Linked DNA regions of Macaca mulatta. The protein of the gene in region 1 interacts with the protein of each later gene in a pairwise test. Links are inferred from orthologs where the notes say so. Each region holds a gene or a part of one and is shown in the gene's direction. Other genes may lie near its edges.

Region 1 (9,869 bases):
AAGAGGTCTCTTCTTGGCCTCAAAGACCAAAAGCCACGATGTTAGACATTGTTTCAGTCTTGAACTTGACCAAGCATGGGCAGGCACCTGGTATGATGGTGACATAGGGGCCCTGGGAGAGGAGAGTCCTCTCCCCACACCGTGGACAGGGTAGGAGGATTACTTTCTATTGAGTGGTCCGAGACAAGAGTGGTGGGAAGGAGCCAGTTATTTGAAGAAGCCAGGAAGGAGAGCAGAGCAGGTGCTAAGGAGGAGTGAGGAATAGTGAGAAGGCTAGTGTGGCTGAAAAGGGGTGAGTGAGGGGGACAGGGAACTGCCCTAATCTCTCCACCCATTTTGAGTCTTGACCATCTGGTATTCTCTAGCACTTAATATATTTAATCTCACCTTTTGTGCATCAAGCCATCCATTCATCCATTCCGCAAACATTTATCACACCTGACAGTGGGGAGGCGCTAAGTCTTGAAGGAAGGGTTTACCAAGCACAAGGGGCAAGACACATCCCCCGCCACTACCCCCACCAGGCAGAGAAAGGTCTGTGAGCCAAGTCCTGGAAAGAAAAAAGCTCACCATTTGGGTGGGGCCTGTTGGGCAGGGCTTTGAATACCCAGGGGTACTCCACCATGTGGAGAGCATAGAAAACCTAAATGCAGAACTCCAGAAAATACTGATATATGGGGGAAAAAATTGTAATGAAATCCATGATTCTGGAATAAGTCAGATCTAGTCTTATACTATATTCTAATACAGCCAAGTGGTAGCAGGAACTGAAGGTTTAAGAGAAAGTGAGAAGAGAAACACTTAAGATGGAGACTATTCTATTAATTAGCTGCTGCTTCTTTTTTTTCTTTTTCTGACAACCAAGTAAACACCATCATTAGTTAATATTAGTGATGCCCAGCTTGGTTCAACTTAGACAGCACCTGTTTTCTGCTGAGTGTCATTTGGATTGACTGGCATAGGCCAGAGGGAGCTGTTTCAGGGCCTCAATCAGGCAGTGACATGATCAGATTTGTGCTTTGGAAAGGTCACTGTGGCTGCAGGATGAGGAGGGAAGAGACGGGTGGCTGCTAGCAGACTGCTGGAAAAATGTACAAGATGAGAGCCAGAATTTGGGCAGAGACAGTGGAGATACAAATTCCCTGAAAGCAAAAGTTTTGCTCTGTTTCATTCTTTTAGCAGTGCCCAGCAAGAGCTAGGCACAGCCACTGGTAGATTTTTAGAAATGCCTACTGTATTGAATTGTCTGGTACTAAAAGTTACGGGACTCCAGACAAAACAAAACTGTTGCCTCTCTCCGGAGTCTCCCTTCTTGGGAGAGGCATCATAGCTGAAGACAGACCCAGGTAGGGAGTTTTCTGTTGTTGGAAATACTCAAGGTTTTGAGGAACCGTTTGGAGACGTAGAACACACAACTCCTGTTACCTGAACCTGGCCCGTATCTGTCTGTTAGATCTGTGCAGACAAGACATGTGTTAGGCTTGGGGGCTTTTGCTGCTTGATAAACAAACAATCATCTGTCTTTCTATAGGTGGGAGAAAGGCCAATGTTAAAAGGTGTCTTTGAGACTGTTTAGCACCCTCTTCCACATGAGCGTGCACCACAGACACATCTGGATTCCCAAGGTCCAGAACAAGAAGCTCAGAAATGTGCTTAGATTTCCAAGTGTTCAGTTCTCAATATCATGCCATTCTCTTTGGAGTTTATGATGCCTTCCAGGGAGAGCAGAGCCCACGTGAGCTTTCCAACAGCAAGACTACTGTTGTGATAAATCACATTGCCCATTTGTGGAGCACTTACTCTATGCTGAGGTTGCATAAGGGCTTCACAAATCCTATTTCATTTAAATTGTTTTCACCAAAGGTGTGTGTCCCACTGCTGACCTGTTGTGCTAACCATCCCCTCTCAGTACTTGAAAACCTGCTCCTGCCCAAGTCATGGCCTGGCTTCACTGGGGTTCCCTTCTGTACTGAATGAGATGACAACAATGAAACACTTGTCCCCAAAAGTGACTTATTGGATTCGTTGGCAGAATGTTAGAAAGTGGGTATGAAGCCCAAGAAACAGGACGCTGAGCCTCACCAAGCCCAAGGAGTATGACGGAATCTGAGCCCAGGCCAAGAATGAGTCACAATGAAAGCTTTTAAAATGTAAAACCATCAACCTAGATTTCAATTCCAAGGAAACACATACTTGGCCATCGGGGAATGCTTTAAAAAAAAACAAAAACAAAAAATCAAGCTTAAGTTACTTGACAGGAAAATAAAACAGCCAACGAACATTCAAACATAATGATTTACATCCTTCCCCAACTCCCTTCCAGTGTGGGTCAGGGCGAACACGGACCATGGACGTGACTGGAGCCAGGAGTGCATGTCCTCTCTGGGTTTCCTCTTCATTAACACTATTTCAGGCACACAATCCCATACCTAAACACAGCCTGGTTAGAGCTGCACGGTGCTACCTTTGGGCTGTTATGCCAATTTCTTGGATTTTCATGACCTCCCTGCTGTTGGGCTCTTGAGTTGCTTGGGGTGGCTGTTTTGGGAATGCGAGGGTTTTTCTTCCGTTATTTATGTGTGCAAGCAGTGTTCATTTCGCTCAAAGAAATGGAAGCTTGATTGATTTCCTAAATGTAAGAATGAGATTGTCCTGTAATAAATATTTAAGACTGACCAGGAAAGGCGACCACCATCTGCTTAAACACAAGACCAGGAATTATTCTGTTAAGCTTCCTGAACGGAGGGAATGAATGAATAACCATCCTATACAATATTTGCTCAGCACCTGGTAGTTTACAAAGAGTTTTCACTTATCTTATTTGATCTTCACAATAACCCCAGAGAAGTAGACAGGGCACGGATTACGAGGATTACGAAAAACCCACATTTTTTTCTTTCTTTCTTAACAGATAAGGGCTCTAAAGGCTTAAAGCCACTCGAGGGAGGTCAGAGAGTTTGGGGACTAAATCTCAGGTCTCTCATTCATTCATGCACATATTTAAAAAATATTTATCCGGAGCCTGTTCCGAGCCAGATGAGACGGCAGTGGGTACAAAGATGAATAAAACACAGTCCCTGCGTAGGAAGATCACGTTCTAGCCTGGGGGAGAACGCCAGGAAAAGTAAACAAGACCCCCTGCTTTGCGAGGTGATGAGTGCTGGGGAGATAGGAACAGAGTGGGGACCATGTTTCTAATCTGATTCTCCTACCGACAACCAGCTCAGTTGTTATTTACAAATAACTGTCCCCTAAAGGGGCGAGGGGGGAGGCTTGGCCGTGCTGCTGGGGTCAGAGCTCGCGGGGGGATCTGCCGCGGGTGAGGACAGAACTCTCCCTTATTGGGCAAATATTTCCTGGGGCACCGCGCTAAGCACACAGGCTCCCCGAATTTCCCTCCCCAGGGCCTCTGTCTTTGGATGGCCTGTCAGCGCGCCCCTGCAGCCCCCAACCCGGCCCGCGAGGCGACCCGGTCCCCTGTCGCCCGAATCTTCCACCGCAGCGAAGCGTCCCCGGGCGAGTGCCCTGCTCTCCGCGCAGAGCGGAAGCTGGCGGGTTCTCACAGTGAACTCGCCCAGCCCCGCTCGCGGCTCTCTCGATTTTATGTGGGTTTCGTTGTATGCATTTTGTTATTTGCCTCAATGGATATGTTTGACATTAATTTTTAGTTCCACAACGAACGCGCGGGAACGTTCTCCGTGAGAGAAAAAGCACGGCGGGGGGCGGTTACCGGCGTTTTCCCCGGTCGTCTGGGGGTCCCGCACGCGCCCCGCGGGTGCCGCTGTCCGGCCGGGGTCCCTGGGTGAGCCGCGGGCACCGGCTTCGCGTCTCCCCGGGCGCGACTCCGCTTTGCAAGCGCTCAGCACACGGGAAACCCTCGGAAAACACACGTGTGTAAAGTTTGTTCCACGCAGAAACAAAGGACGCGTGGGGGCCGCTTCTGGGGCCTAGGTGTTTTGTTGGAACCCCACTCCGGAGTCCGGCCCGCACCCTCGCCCGGCAAGGGGAAGCCGGCCCTAGACAGACCGGGGGCCCGGAAGGCGCAGCAGCACAGCTCTGCGCCCTCGACCCGCTCCCGCCGAGCGCTGGGCCAGGCCCTTGGCCTCAGGCTTCCCGGGCGGCTCCGGGCCAGACCAGAGCCTCCGTCACTGGGCGCCCGCCTGTTTCTGGGCGCCGTGCTCGGGCCCGGGCAGCTGCTGCCCGACGCGGCCCCGAGGAGCCCCTGCACGAACCCCGCCGACTTGGCCCGGGACGGCAAGCCGGGGTGCTTAGGGCGCCCCGGGCCTGGCCAACGGCGAGAAACCGGGCCCGGGACGCCAGGGGCGCGGGGTGCTCCGGGCCAGGGCCCAGGCGGGGAACAGAGATATTTTTCGCGGGGACGGGGGCAGGAGGTGTCAAAGTTTTCGGGGAACTTTTCCACTTGAGATTCCACGACCCTGTAGTGCCACCTACAGAAAGCGGCAGCTGGGGAGGGCGGGCGCCCCCAACGACCCCCGACTGCCGGCGGCTGCGCGGCCAGACTGCCTGGAGCTTTCGCTTTTTTTTTTTTTTTTTTTTTTTTCCTTTTTTTTCCTCCTGGTTGTTTGTCGGGTACATCTTTTTTCAGAGTGGGAAAAAAAAAAAAAAAAAAAAAAAAAAAAAAAAAGCGAGCGCCAGCGCCTGCAGTAGAGCGTGCTCGGCCTGCAGAGGCAGTCGTCTCCAACTTTTCCTCTCCCGCTCCAACTCCCCGCGCCCAAAACTTCGGCTCTCGGGGAGCCCAAATTTGCCTGCCGCGCAACTTCCACTCTAATGCAGGGACCAAGGGCCCTGGCAGCGGTTTGCAGCCTGGGGGTCACGCTCCCCAGGCTCGGGCCTGCTCGCTGGCCTGCTCCTAGTGCCTAGACCCAGTTGGGGAAGGCGAAACGGGGCGCCCCAGGAGCACCCCGGGAGAGGGCGGAGCACTCTCGTGCCCCGGGGCAGGAGTGCAGGGAGCTCCCGCGCCCGGAACGTTGCAAGCAAGGCTTGCGAGAGTCGCAGGGGGGCACTCGCGAGGGACGGACAGGAAGAGGGCCAGGGGGGACGCCAGAACCCGGGACCACAGTACGGAAACGGCCCGGGGCTGAGCTGCAGTCAGATCCGGGGATGGAGGGAGCCGGAGAAGAGGAGTGAGAAGGCCGGGGAGGCAGGCCCTGCTGTCCTCCTGCAGGCCAGCAGCCTGCTGGCAGTGGAGGACCAGGCCACCCAGGAAAGGAAGGGGTCAGGAGGTCGGGCAGGGCCTCAGCAGGCTCAGACAAGGCCCCAGAAGGGAGCTGCAGGCGCCCTGGAGTCCAGGCCTCAGGCCTGGCTCCGGTTGTCCAAAGAGGGCCTAGGCCAGGCCTCTGGTGGGGAAACTGAGTCACAGCCAGACCTCAGGGCACGGCCTAGACGCTTACGAGCCAAGTTAGGGGTAGAGAGCAAAGACCTTTGGGGGTCTCAGGGAGTAGGGGGCTTCAGGGCCTCCCAGTCCAGAGCTGGATTGGCGAGTTAGACGCTTGTAGATCCAAGGTTGGATTGGGGTGGGGTCTCTGGAACGTTGGATCGCTACGCAAGGATTGGGGGGATTCAAGTGCTTAGAGATCGAAGTCGGTCCTGGGTAGGGGGAGTCAGACAATTGGAAAGCCTAGGTAGTTATTTGGGGAGGGGTCTCTACGCTTTGGCGAAGGGCACAGCTGCGTCTTTTTGGCTTGAAGCCTGAGGCCTTGTCGAGAAGCTTCTGTGAAAGGGTGGGCCGGCCGGGTCAAGAGAAAGAAAGTGAATAAACCAGGAATATAAGTGGGCGGGGGGCCCCTGAGAGGGGGGTCACAAAGGGTGAGACATGGCCACCAGGCGTTTAACCGACGCTTTCTTGTTGTTGCGGAATAATTCCATCCAAAACCGGCAGCTGTTAGCCGAGCAAGTGAGTAGTCACACCACCTCCAGCCCTCTGCATTCACGTAGCATTGCTGCGGTGAGTCTCCCGGCGGCCTCTCCGACACACGGACCGTGTGCACTGCGGCTCTGCCTGTTTGTCTGTCTCTGTCTGTCTCTCTGTTTAATAAAAGAAGATAAGAATAATAAGACTAAGGATAATAAGATCTCTTGGCTAGAATCAGGGGGCATCTGTAACCCTGGATGGGGAAAAAGCGGTGCTGTGAGGCCGCAGCTCCACCTCTGCCTTGTCTTCTCCTCACTTCCGCAGCACCCCCCCCGCGCATCCCCCGCCTTGGCGTCACTGCGCTACAGGCCGCCTGTAATTTACATATGTTTTAACGCTAACATTGGGAAGCATTGGGCCTTTCTGAAGCCTTTTTGTTTCGTTTTGTTTGAAGCTCCCCTCCCCCCAATAGTGAGCCTCAGTTCGGTCCTAATGGCTGGGTCGCGGGACCATGGACCCAAATCCTTGCAAATGAACGACTCCCTCTCCTAAAGAGGAAGCAGTTGTGTTGTTGTTTTGTTTTGTTTTGTTTTTCTGCCCGTTTTAACGGTCCCGCAGCCCTTGTGTGGCCTTGTTCCCTATGAATAATTGTTTCACTGTTCTTCCTGGGGGCTTGGGTTTCTAAGACTCGAGGTGCTAGCCTCTTCACTTTCCATTTCCCAGACGGGAAATTACGCTTTCCTCTCCATTCGAACTTTTTAAAAAAGCCTGAGGAGGTATATGTGAAAATTAACCCTCTAAAATAACATTTTTTTTTTTTTTTTTAAATTAGCCAGAACCTTTAGTTAGCCTAGCAGTAGTGTTTTTTAAGGGTGGTCCTGGAAAAATTACTGTTTCTGGTTTGTTTTTAATGGGGGCTACTTTTCCCTTTCTGAGCCTCAGTTTACTGCTCTGTTAAATAAGGGGCGAGTCTAGATGATCTATACCAGACAGTGATCGTTAGCTCGGTAATGTCTTCAATTGAAAAGTGAAGTTATGAAATTGGCTGTAGTTCAGGCTACCTGCTGTAGGGAGGCTAGGTTGGAATAGAAGCAGCGTTGGAACAGGCGGGTTATAGCCATCCCAGGACCACATTCTTGGGGATTATACTTGATAGGCAATTTTGGAAACCCCGCATTTATTTCACCTCCTAGGGACTGTATTGCCAGTTCATTTTTTTCTTTGTGACTTTATCTAAATGTTTCAGAAAAATTTTGCCATATGTCATGATTATCATGTCTACAAAGACAGTTTCTCCTTTTTGTAAGTCACAAGTGGAGAATGTCTTTGGCCATATAACTGATAGAAAAGTGATTTTAAGCCATATGAGCGGTTTCAGGAATAAAAGCATGTAAACTCAGGTCAAAAAGCCTAGAAACAGGGACAGAGTGTGTGTGAGATTTCAGTTAAGAAGTTGAAGGGTTTTACATTTATAAACTGAAAGGAATGACATTATATTGAAATAAATATAAAGATGTCTGGTAGCATAGAAACGGGCTAATTCTAGCGCTAATTTTGAAGAAAAAAATAAGCCAAGAAATTGAGTAGCAATTGGATGAATACAATTCCTTAATGGTACTTCAGTAATGTTAAATAAGAACTACATGTTCCTTAAATGACTTGATTTTTGTGCTGCCTCAAAAACAACTGAAACTGATATTAAGATTTCTAAGGTATCAGTTTTAATTGATTGAAAAACATATTGTTTATTTTTCAATTTTTAATCATTAAGGTTCAAAATACCCTGAACCTTTGGGTAACATGAGGGTTTTTTTTTTCCCCCATTTAGTCAGATGGTTTAAAAACTTAGTATCTGAGACAGGAAGCTTTTTAAAAGTCCTTCTCTGAATCAAACCACTTTAGAAAATTATTTTCTAAGTTAGGCAATTTAAAAAAAATATTTAAGCTAAGCAAAAGAACTAAAAATGGATAGCTAAAGTATACAGTTTGGAAAAATAGATACGTCAGGATATATACAGATATATTTACCTAACTCACAGTTTTTTGAAAATGATTTCTAAACCCAACTAAAAATATATTTCTAAGTCAGAACATTAAAAAGTGTTTTCTAAATGTCATGCCATTGAAAATGTTAATATTTGTATTAGTCTGACCATTTAAAATCTTTCTCAGATCATTGAAAGCAGCCATATCATTTAAAATATCCTTATAGTCAATTCATACTGTTTAAAAAATAGGTTTTGCATTCTAACAAACATAGTTTTCCTGAATTAAAATTTTAAAAGAAAACACAGATTTATATATTTTAGTTGTGTTTAAAAAAATGGCATGTCATAAATTTCTGAAGTATTTAGGGTTGAAGTGTTACGTCTTCACTTTGCTTACAGGTGATCTTACAAAATCTATTTCTGCACACAATACGGCGAAATGCTAACAAGACCACATAGAGGTTATGATTTTTTTCAGCTTATCTGGAAGTTGGAAAAGCTTTATAAACGTTTTGAAGCAAAAGCCACGTCTAACACAATTTGTAAAAACTGTATTGAGTAACTCTTAGCAATGCTTTTCACTGCATATCTAGCTCATAAAAAATTTAAAGCCTTGTTTCTGATTTGTAAATTTCAAAGCCATGTAGCAAACCAAACAATACCATATCTGTCAAATTTTGAATATGGACTAGGTATTAGGTGACATTAAAGAATTAATTAAATTAATTATAATACACTACATTTGCTAATTTTACTAGAGATGCCTACTAAAATGTTTAGTGGTGAAATGTCAAGGTGTCTTACCTAAATCCTTAAACCCCTCCAAAAACAGAGGAAGCAAATAAGGCAAATTGTTACTCATTGTTGAGTCTAGTGATGAGTATGTGGGGGACATTTTACGTAATTTTGTAGGCTTTTCTACATGTTTGAAAATTTTTAAATAGAAACTTAAAATAAGTATATTCGTTATAGTAAAGTAGAACAGTTAAAAAGAGACAATTTGTAAATATATATCTAACACTCAGGCAATTTGAAAGGAAGAAACTAAACCTGAGTTTAACTTAATTTAAAAAATAATAACCTGGAATTTTTTAAGTTTCTAATTAGAAGAAAAAGCTGTAGACTTTGATCTTGATGCATTTGATACCAACTAAAAATACACCTAAAATAACAGACTTAAAAAAAAAAATTATAACCCTGAATTTTGACATCTTTATTTCAGGAAAAAGCTGCAGAAATTAATTGCAGAGTAGTATATCTCTTACACCTCAAAGCAAAGCACACCTTTAGCCATGTCATGGCTTTAGCCATGTCATTCAAAAGATTTAAACATGCATTTTTTGCATCCTAGTTTGAGGGGAAAAACTAGAATTTGGTTGTTGTAGTGGGGTTATTGTGTGTACCTGTGCGTGCATACAGGGTTTTGCAGCATTCAGGCAAATACGTCAAATAAACAGGAATTTAAGGAGGATAGGCAGTGACCAGATAAACACAAAGCCTTAAGGGCCAGAAGGGACCTAAAGGTCATTTGGCCTAGTGTACCCGTTTGTGATAACCCCTTATGCCTGTCTTGTTTGGCCATGTTCTGTGACTATGATGGAAAATGCCAGCAGCTCCACGATTTTTACCACTAAAAAGTCTTTGCCTGTTTATCCCAACTGTTTGTGTCCTGGGGTCCTGCTTTTAGTTCTGTTCCTTCGGGTCTTCCTTCTGTCTGGTAACCCTGCAGCCTTGTTACCCAGAGTTCTTTCCAGGCTTAGCAGTCCCGGCTTAGAGTGGTTACGTTTCTTTCCTATAAGTGATGTTTAGTTTTTCTGTATCCTTTTTAAAGTTCAGCACCCAGAACTGAACAAAATTCTACTTTTTTTGTGTAATTAATTGTATTAATGTTAGTAAAACTGATTGTTAAAAACAGAGGGGTTTGACTTTATACACTCCTAACAAAATGCAGTTGTATTTCCCATGCATTTTGCTCTGGCCTCAGTTTTGAGTGCCCCATCACGTTCATG
Region 2 (9,708 bases), on another chromosome or scaffold:
GGTGGTGGGCACCTGTAATCCCAGCTAGTCAGGAGGCTGAGGCAGGAGAATCACTTGAACCCAGGAGGTGGAGGCTGCACTGAGCCAAGATCGAACCACTGCCTGGGCAACAGAGCAAGACTCCATCTCAAAAAAACAAAAACAAGAAAGTTTGGCCTGTGGGTTGTACTTGTACTTATACTCTTGTTCCAGTGGGAGGAGCCACTGGGTCACTCACTCTGCCTTTTCCTCAACAGTCTGAGCACTTCAAGACGACATCGCAGAAGGTGGCTCGGAAATTCTGGTGGAAGAATGTGAAGATGATTGTCCTTATCTGCGTGATTGTTTTTATCATCATTCTCTTCATTGTGCTCTTTGCCACTGGTGCCTTCTCTTAAGTAATAGGGAACCTCTCCCACCTGCCCTTCTCTTCAGGGACAACCCTCTGTAAATGGGTGCCAAGAGGGTCTCCTTTCCTGTCCTCCTCTACAGAGAATGCTGCTCGGTCCTCCTACCCCTCTTCCCGAGGCCCTCCTGCCGTGTTGTATGCCCCAGAGGGTAACTTGGTCCCCCAGAAGGAGAGAAAAAAGAGAGCTGGACTGCGGATGCATTTCATGGGTCCTTAGAGTGGGCTGGAGAGACCTAGAGGGCCCAGCATGTGGCTGGGAAACTGCTGGTGGCCAGTGGGCAATAAAGACCTTTCAGTATCCCTATATGTGTGAGTCACTTTCTCTCTTCCCATTTTGCCTTTGGCTTTTCTATTTCTTTTCTTCCCAAGGATACCTTCTGGCTGAAATTCTCTCGTTTGAGGTCCAAGTGGTTTGAAGGGCAAAGAGTGTATGTTTGGAGAAGAAAGATGTCTTTCTTTATTCCTCCCGGTTCCATTCATTGTCACAGGTCTCAAGAACAAGAATTTTCTGGGAGTCTTGGCATATGGAAAATTCAAAACCTTCATAGCATTTTGGGGTGGTACGCAAGATTTTTAAGTGTTCCCATTGGGTCCTGCCATGGCCCTGTAGTACTGTTCTTCTGGAATTGTTAGCTGAGGCATGAAGCCTACCCGGACAGGGTGTTTAAGAGCTGCTTGAAGGCCTCCTGCCTCTTCCACCAGAGCCATCTCTCTTCAACGACCGTGTAGTCTAGAGCCGAGGGGTGGAGGAAATGGACTGCTGTTCCTTTCCTTGTGCTTTGTATGTTCATGTTCTATTTGTCTTTTCTCTGTCCTTGTCTTCTGGGACTTAGCAAGGCCTCTGGGTCTTAGTTATCCCAAGGGGGCAAGCATCTCTCCTCCGCATCCCATGGCTGGGCATAGTCAGTCAGTGTCACAGGACAGGGCCAATGGCCCTCCTTCCCCTCCGTGCACAATGAGCCTTTCTGTCTTCAGGCCCCCCTCCTCCCTACCAGGTTCCACTATCACTGTTACTTTTTCCAGTGCCCAGTCTGCCTTGGTTTGCAGGGAGGGTTCTTGCTATCTCTGTTCCTGTTTCCTCTACAGGTTTTCCAGCATTGGAAACAACCTGTTGTCAGGAGGAAGGGGAAGGGTTGAGAGTCAGGATTTGGGACTAGATTGGCAAGTCAGGCTCTGGAAGAATCAGGCTCTGAAGCAGGGAGGAGGAAAGGTCAGAAAAGACCCTTATGAGATTTTTATTTTTATTTTTTCAGGGATAGGATCTTACTCTGTTGCCCAGGTTGGAGTGCAGTGGTGTGATCATGGCTTACTGTAACCTCCACCTCCTGGGCTTTAGAGATCTTCCTGCTTCAGCCTCCCTTGTAGCTGGGACCACAGGTGTGTGCTACCACACCTGGCTAATTTTTGTATTTTTAGTAGAGACATGGTCTCACTATGTTGCCCAGGCTGGTCTCAAACTCCTGGGTTCAAGCAATCCTACTGCCTTGGCCTCCCAAAGTGCTGGAATTACAAGTGGGAGCCACCGTGCCCGGCCTTGGGGTAGTCTTTGCTACATATATTAATCCTTTCTCTCCTGGATTCAAGGTGTAAGGAACTGAAGTGAAGCTTCTGCCTTGGGACCCAGGCTGTCCAAGGTGGGGGGTGAGGGTCTGTGAAACCCTCTTGGTCTGGGACTTCTGTATTCACAGAGGCTTAGCCCCAGAGAGGGAAACTTTCAACTCTGTTGGTCAAGAGATACCTTATTTGAGGGACTAGGCCCAGTGGCTCACACTTGTAATCCCAACACTTTGGAAGCCTGAGGCAGAAGAACTGCTTGAGGCCAGGAGTTCGAGACCAGCCTGGTCAACATAGTGAGACCCTGTCTCTCTCTCTCTCTTAAAAAAAAAAAAAAAGAGGGACCTTATTTTAAGATGTCTGAGGCAGCTTGGAGTAGTGGAGAACAGGTAGCTGGTGGTTTCTCTGCAGCAGTGAGAGGAGAGGATGGGTAGATTCGGCTCAGGAAGGCTCTGAAGTGGTAGCAGACACACCACCCTCCCCCATCTTCTGACTGAGGAGCAGGTGCATGGCAGGTGCATGCCAGCACAGAGCTGCACTTGCCCTCATGGTGAGGAGAGACATACAGAAAGGCTAGAGCTAGTACTTTGCCCATGTGGGGCTGCTTTCTTTTTGAATAGAGGCGAAAGTCACATAACATACAGTTTATTATTTTAAAGTGTACAAATCAGAAACATGTATTCAGAATGTTGTGTAACCACCACTTGTCTTTAGTTTCAAAACTTTGGGGGGGCCTGTTTTTGATTCTGGGTGAGATGCACTCACCAAGGTGACAAAGACCCTACCTGGCTTGTTCATGGTGTCTCCAGGACCTAGCGTGGTGCCTGACCGTGACACTCATAGGGTGTTTGTTGAGTGAATGAATGATGCCTCTTCAGCTAAACCCGACCTAGGAGACTCCAGGGCTCACTCCACTGTGCCCATTCCACAGATCCGGCCCCGAGGTGTGCCCGTTCACCCAGCTGAGGTGTCACCCGAATTCAGGCTCCTGGGGCCCGGGAGGAGGCGACTCTACGGACCCGGGTCGCTGTGGCCCATCGCTTTCGATTTGACTCAGTTTCGGTCGCCACTCGCGGAAGGCGCGCCCCCCGCCCTCTCTCGGCGGCCCGCCCTGCCCCGCCCCTGCGCTTCCTCCGGGACCGCTGGCACTGCGGCCACTCAGCCGGCAGAGAAGCCGGGAGCGGGCGAGGCGTCGGCGGCAGCGGCGATGGTGAGGGCCCGGGCGGGGCCGGCCAGCCCTGCGACGGGCAGAGGGCGAGTGGCGAGGGTGGGAGAAAGGAGTCCGAAGTCCACGGGCCGGGGCGTAACCTAGGGCCCATGCGGGTCAGACCCGAGGCGGTGACCACGGCCGGAGCAGGATGGGGCGGACCCTCCACTCCCCGCGGGCTGCCTGGGAGGGAAATGCTTGAGCCCCGTCCTGGCTGCACCGCGCAGAGCGAGCGGGGCCCGGGCTCCCCATTCTCCTGAAGCGAAGCGGTTAGGAGCACCGACTTTGGAGGACTCCGGGCTGGGATCCCAGCTCTGTGACCCGGGGCGAGTCACTTAACCTCCCTGAGCCTCCTTTTCCGTATCTGTGAAGTGGGGTCAGTAATACCTGCCTTGTTGGGTCCTTGCGAGGTTAAAGGAGACACAATGGCAGAGACCCGCCTGGCACTCAGAACCCACTGCTAAGAAGTGGTAGGAAATGTAATGACCTCGTCAGCCCTTTCCGCAGCTGTGAGGAGCCAAGCCTGGCTCAGGAGTTGGAAACTTGAGCAGATGGGGTGGCAGAGGCCATTCCAGCCCCATGGCAGGGTGTTGGAGGCCTAACTCCTCCCCTAGAGAAAGAGAAAGGGAGATGTTTACTCTGAAAGTTCCACTGAAGTTATCAGAGTGTGGCACAGGCCTGACTCCCTGCTAACCTCTACCTAGTGACACATTCCTGAGTTGAGTCACCCCCCACTCCTGCTGCATATCCTGGCCTCTGTCCTCACTTGCCATCTCCAAGGCGAAGATGTCAGGAACAGCTGGTGCCAGTTTCCCCCTTTCCCTAGGGCTCCTGGGAAGATGGACTGGGCAGGAAGTAGGCTTGGTGCTTTAAGATTTTGCCTTGGAGAAACTGACAGAGGTGTGATGGATGTGGCCTGGCTAGGGGTCAATGCCTGGATGGCTTCATCTCCAGGGAATTTGGAGGCAGGAAGAGGAAGTGGGGCAGGAAGGTAGCACTGAGCTCTGAGGCCATGCCGGGAAGCTGGGGAAGGCTCTGAGAATAGGGCAGAGCCCAGAGCCCACTTCAGGGTGTGCAGGGCAAGGGGTCAGGCAGGGGTAGGGGTGGGCTTCAGTCGGCCCTTAGCTCTTGGGGAGAAGCTCCTGAAGTGAAAGGTGAAGGCAGGATAATTTATTGGGGGACAAGGGTACTGGGAAACCTGGGGATTCTCACGGGTACATTTGAGGCAGTCTGTGGAGGAGAGCCTGGGGAGGTCGCTCCTATACCCATCCATCTCCTAGCCTCTTCCTGTTTCTTCTTTCACTATTGCCCCTTTCTCACCCTAGCTCTTTCCCTTCCTTCCACCCATCCCCTTTCCCTCCCTGGTCCTTCTTCCTTTTACTTTTCTTTTATTCTCTATGACTCATTCAACCAACAAGGATTTCTTGGGCATGTCCTTCATGCCAGCATGGTGACAAGTATAGGGGACAGAGCAGGAACAAAGTAGGATAGGAAAGATGGAAATAGAATGAGTAATTACCTGAATTCATTAATCTTGTAGATGATCCTCTCTCCAAAGAATGTGTGTGTTGAGCCACGGGCCTCCCTCATATGCACACAAATTAAGTTGGTAGCATCAAAAGGTTTGGTGGTTCTTTAGCCAGTCAGCTAAAGTGTTTGACCTCCTTGTACCTGTATCTAATTTAGCACACCGGTTATGAATGTGATGCCTGGAGTCTGTGTTGGTTCAACTCCCAGATCTACTTACTGGCTCTGTGATCTTATACAGGTGATTTAACACCTCTGAGCCAAAGTTTCCTATAAAACTGGGAAAAGGCCAGGCGCAGTGGCTCACACCTGTAATCCCAGCACTTTGGGAGGCCAAGGCGGGCAGATCACAAGGTCGAGAGTTCAAGACCAGCCTGGCAAGGATGGTGAAACCCTGTCTCTACTAAAAATATAAAAAAATAGCCGGGTGTGGTGGCACGTGCCTGTAGTCCCAACTACTCGGGAGGCTGAGACAGGAGACTCACTTGAACCCGGGAGGTGGAGGTTGCAGTGAGCTGAGATTATGCCATTGCACTCCAGCCTGGGTGACAGAATTAAGACTGTGTCTCAAAACAAAAACAAACAAGCAAACAAAATAACTGGGTTAATAATATGGTCTTCAATGGGTTGTTGGGTGAAGATTAAATGAGGCAGAGCAAATGAACAGCAAGCAGCATAGTGCTTAGCTCAGAGTATGTGCCCATTGAATGGTGGCTGTTATTCTTGCTCAAGATGTAAAACCTCAACAGCCTGCAGTGCCAGATGAAAATAAACTAGATGCTGGTTACCAAAGGCCCATGTAAAGTTCTGAGCTACGGGTTAGAAACAATTATGTGTACTATGTGTACAAGTTTGCCACAGGGAAGAGCTTGCTTGGCTGTGCATTTTGTAAAACGAAGAGGTTTTATTGACCACATGTATTACACAATTTTTTTTTTTTTTTTTTGAGATAGAGCCTCGCTCTGCATCCAGGCTGGAGTGCAGCGGCACAATCTAGCTCACTGCAACCTCTGCCTCCCAAGTTCAAGTGATTCTCCTGCCTCAGCCTCCCAAGTAGCTGGGATTACGGGTGCCTGCCACCACGCCTGGCTAATTTTTGTATTTTTAGTAGAGACGGGGTTTCACCATATTGGCCAGACTGGTCTCGGACTCCTGACCTTGTGATCTGCCCGCCTCGGCCTCCCAAAGTGCTGGGATTTCAGGCGTGAGCCACCACGCCTGGCCATATTGTACAATTCTTGAGATCTGACTGCTAAAAAAAAAAAAAAAAAAAACACAAACCGGAGCTAGGGAAATGTGGGCCACATCAATAATAATAGCCCTTATTTATTGAGCATTTAGTATGTGCCAGGCGTTGTGCTAAGCTTTTGATTTACATCACAAATGAATATGTCACATAATCCTTAGCTAACATTGTAAGAGAAGTCATTATTATCAGCACTTTACAGGAGAGGAAATGGAGGTCAGAAAGGTCATATCCTCAGTCTCAGTCACTCAGCTAGTGAGTGGCAGAAGCAGGATTTCAACAGAGGGGTGCAAAGCAGAGCTCTACTCCTAGTCTCTGAGCTGAGTGCTGACTTAGGGAGGCGATGTTATACCAGTACTTGCGCCCATTTATCTGACGACAGTTAGAACAGAGTTTCTTGGATACTAGACAGGAGACAGGGAGACAAGGAGAGTTAGGATAGGGAGGTGTTTTTTGTTTTTGTTTCTTTGTTTTTTTTGAGACAGGGTCTCACTCCTTCGCCCAGGCTGGAGTGCAGTGGTGCAATCTTGGCTCACTGCAGCCTCTGCCTCCCAGGTTCAAGCAATTCTCCTGCCTCAGCCTCCCGAGTAGCTGGGACTACGGGCAGGCACCACTTTGCCCGGCTATTTTTTGTATTTTTTGGTAGAGGCGTGATCCGCCCACCTTGGCTTCCCAAAGTCCAGGGATTACAGGCATGAGCCACCGTGCCTGGCCCAGATGGTGTGGTTTTGAGAACTACATTTTCAAAGCAGGAATCAAAGAGATTGAGCCCAGAAAAACCTGAAAGGTTTGAGTGTCATAGAGGGGTTATTCTGTACAGGGGGCAACAGTCTGTCAAGAACATTTCCTGTGTAACTGCCACTCTCTGGCAATGACACAACTGCTCCCCGCTTGCTCTGGCTCAAAATTCCAAGCCCTGCAGGCTTCTGGCCTCAGGTCTCAGAAATGCCTCTATCACCCTTCTTCCTTTCTCCACGCTCTGCTCGTCACCTCTCTCTGTCCTGGTGGGCATCTCCTCACAGCCTTGCTGATGGTACTTCTCCACCCCTCTGGCTGGCCTCTCTGCCGGTTTCTTACTTCTATCCATGCCTGTCTACCACCAATAGAGAAATTATCCTGAAGCACTTCTTGACTGTCACCCTTGACTCAAAAACCCACACTAGCTCTTAAGTTTTATCACTCACTTGGAGCCGGTCTTCTCTACCTGACCTTTTCTGCCTTCTGTAGCCCCACCCTGTCCCGCCCATCCTCTGCCTGGTCCTCACTGTCAGAGTGTATCCCTCTCTCTCAGTGCCAGAATGTCCCAGCTCCATGCCATCCTTCAAGGGGTCAACCCCCGCAATGGCACCCTCTCTGTGGCAGCTCCGACACTTACTATCTGTATCACACAGTGTAACTCTTTCCTCTTCTCTAATTGTATTACATATGTATTTTCCCCAGGGCAAAGTGGTCTCTTTAAGAATAGGCACAGTTAGGCCAGGCATGATGGTTCATGCCTGTAATCCCAGCACTTTGGGAGGCTGAGGTGGGAGGACTGCTTGAGCCCAAGAGTTCAAGACCATCCTGGGCAACATAGGAAGACCCCATCTTTAAAAATATAGGCACAATTGGCTGGGCGCGGTGGCTCACGCCTGTAATCCCAGCACTTTGGGAGGCCGAGGCAGGCGGATCACAAGGTCAGGAGATCGAGACCATCCTGGCTAACACCGTGAAACCCCGTCTCTACTAAAAATACAAAAAATTAGCCGGGCGCGGTGGCGGCGCCTGTAGTCCCAGCTACTTGGGAGGCTGAGGCAGGAGAATGGTGGGAACCCGGGAGGCGGAGCTTGCAGTGAGTTGAGATCTGGCCACTGCACTCCAGCCTGGGCGACAGAGCAAGACTCCGTCTCAAAAAAAAAAAAAAATATAGGCACAATTCATTCAGGAACTGTTTATCACATATCTGCTGTCTGCGGACATTATGCTGAGTTACCGTGTGGCATAAGGCAGTGTGACCCTTGTCCTCTTGCTTACCTCCTTCCAGGGTCCCTGGAGCTTTATTTCTCACCGTGCTAGCAGAGACCTGTGGATATAGGCAGGGTCCTTTTTCCTCTGGTTGAGTGGGGGCCAAAGAGGGCCCGAGACTTGAGTCTAAGGCCTCTGTGTTCCCTGGAGTGAATGTGTTCTTTTAGGCCTGGGTCCATCTTGGCTCCAGGCAGGCCTGGCTTTGCACTGGGGGAGACTGGTCCAGATTACAGCTGGAAGCACAGCCAGCCCTCTGGAGAATGTGACCCCAATATCACCCCTTGCTGAAGAATAAGGTAACAACAGCTGTAGCATTTAGAATATGTATATATAAAAAAAGATAATATCCAGTATTTTCCCTGTCTCTACCAGTGACTCTTATTTTCGAGTCTTTATCCATTCTCAAGTTTTTGCTTTGGACTCTTTATTTTTATTTTTTTATTTTTATTTTTTGAGATGGAGTCTCACCCTGATGCCCAGGCTAGAGTGCAGTGGCGCAATCTCAGCTCACTGCAAGCTCCGCTTCCCGGGTTCACGCCATTCTCCTGCCTCAGCCTCCCGAGTAGCTGGGACTACAGGCGCCCGCCACTACGCCCAGCTAATTTTTGTATTTTTTAGTAGAGATTGGGTTTCACCATGTTAGCCAGGATGGTCTCGATCTCCTGACCTCGTGATCTGCCTGCCTCGGCCTCCCAAAGTGCTGGGATTACAGGTGTGAGCCACCGCGCCTGGCCTTGGACTATTTAATTTTATTTTTTGCTTTGTTTTGTTTTGTTTGCTGAGACGGAGTCTTGCTCTGTTGCCCAGGCTGGAATGCAGTGGTGTGATCTCGGCTCACTGCAACCTCCACCACCCAGGTTCAAGTGATTCTCCCACCTCAGCCTCCCAAGTAGCTGGGATTACAGGCACGCACCACCATGCCTGGCTAATTTTTGTATTTTTAGTAGAGACAGGGTTTCACCATGTTGGCTGGGCTGGTCTCGAACTCCTGGCCTCAAGTGATCTGCCTGCCTCAGGCTCCTAAAGTGCTGGGATTACAGGCGTGAGCCACCGTGCCCAGCCTGCCTTGGAGTATTTGAATGTGGGGAAGTTCAAATGATTGAATGACAGAGACTTGTTGAATGCTATAGTAGTAATAATAGTGATGATGGTTGACTCAAGAAAAGGTGAGAGTGCAGTTTCCCTGCTCTCTTCGTTGTTCCTCTGTGTTTCCTGCTTACTGCTTCCTCCAGCCTATGAGTGCACCCTCCCCTACAGTGGTTTGCCTGACCTCTCTTGAAGCAGGTTGCTTTTCTAGCTCGTGGGTAAATATTGACCTATTTGGGTTTCAAATGCCTGCCCCTCGAAACTCATGCAGGGCTAGAAAAACATGCTGGGAGAACATCCCTTGAGAATAAGAGTTGCTTTTGGTTAGGCTGTATCGTAATTGGCCCACTCACTGAGTCCTTGCTTGCAATGGTCAGCACTGTGCTGGCCTCCTGGTGGGATGGTGGTGGACAAAGGCAGGGCACTGCTCCCTGCCCTCCCTCTGGGAGTTTGTGGTCCAGCTGGGGAGATAGGACTCATACACTGGGAATTCTTGGAGGCTGTGTACCAAGCAGCTGCAAGGAACCTAAAGGAGGATTCTTGCCTGAGTAGGAGGTGGCTCTCTGTGACCACCAGATCTCTTCTAACACTTAAGTTTTCTGGTTTTAAGTGGAATTCAGTCAAGTGCCAAAATGTCTGTTGTAGACAATGGGTAACGTGGGCTGGCAGAAAACGAAGCTTGCCCTTCTTGTAAGG

The links.
Region 2: the proteins of STX16 (region 1) and VAMP5 interact in binary tests that used the Homo sapiens proteins (3 or more experiments, as listed by UniProt). The two-hybrid records come from large-scale screens. The link is inferred for Macaca mulatta from reciprocal best matches to the Homo sapiens genes STX16 and VAMP5.

Annotation. Positions count from the first base shown.
Region 1 is NC_133415.1:111,439,314-111,449,182, forward strand, and holds the start of STX16 (syntaxin-16), read left to right. Parts: upstream 1-5,096; 5' UTR 5,097-5,833; coding exon 5,834-5,914; coding exon of another isoform or gene 5,915-5,977; exon of another isoform or gene 5,978-6,045; intron 6,046-9,869. UniProt on the Homo sapiens protein: SNARE involved in vesicular transport from the late endosomes to the trans-Golgi network.
Region 2 is NC_133418.1:38,803,581-38,813,288, reverse strand, and holds the start of VAMP5 (vesicle-associated membrane protein 5), read left to right. Parts: upstream 1-3,078; 5' UTR 3,079-3,149; coding exon 3,150-3,152; intron 3,153-9,708. Other genes in the region: VAMP8 (vesicle-associated membrane protein 8), read left to right, coding at 237-377. UniProt on the Homo sapiens protein: May participate in trafficking events that are associated with myogenesis, such as myoblast fusion and/or GLUT4 trafficking.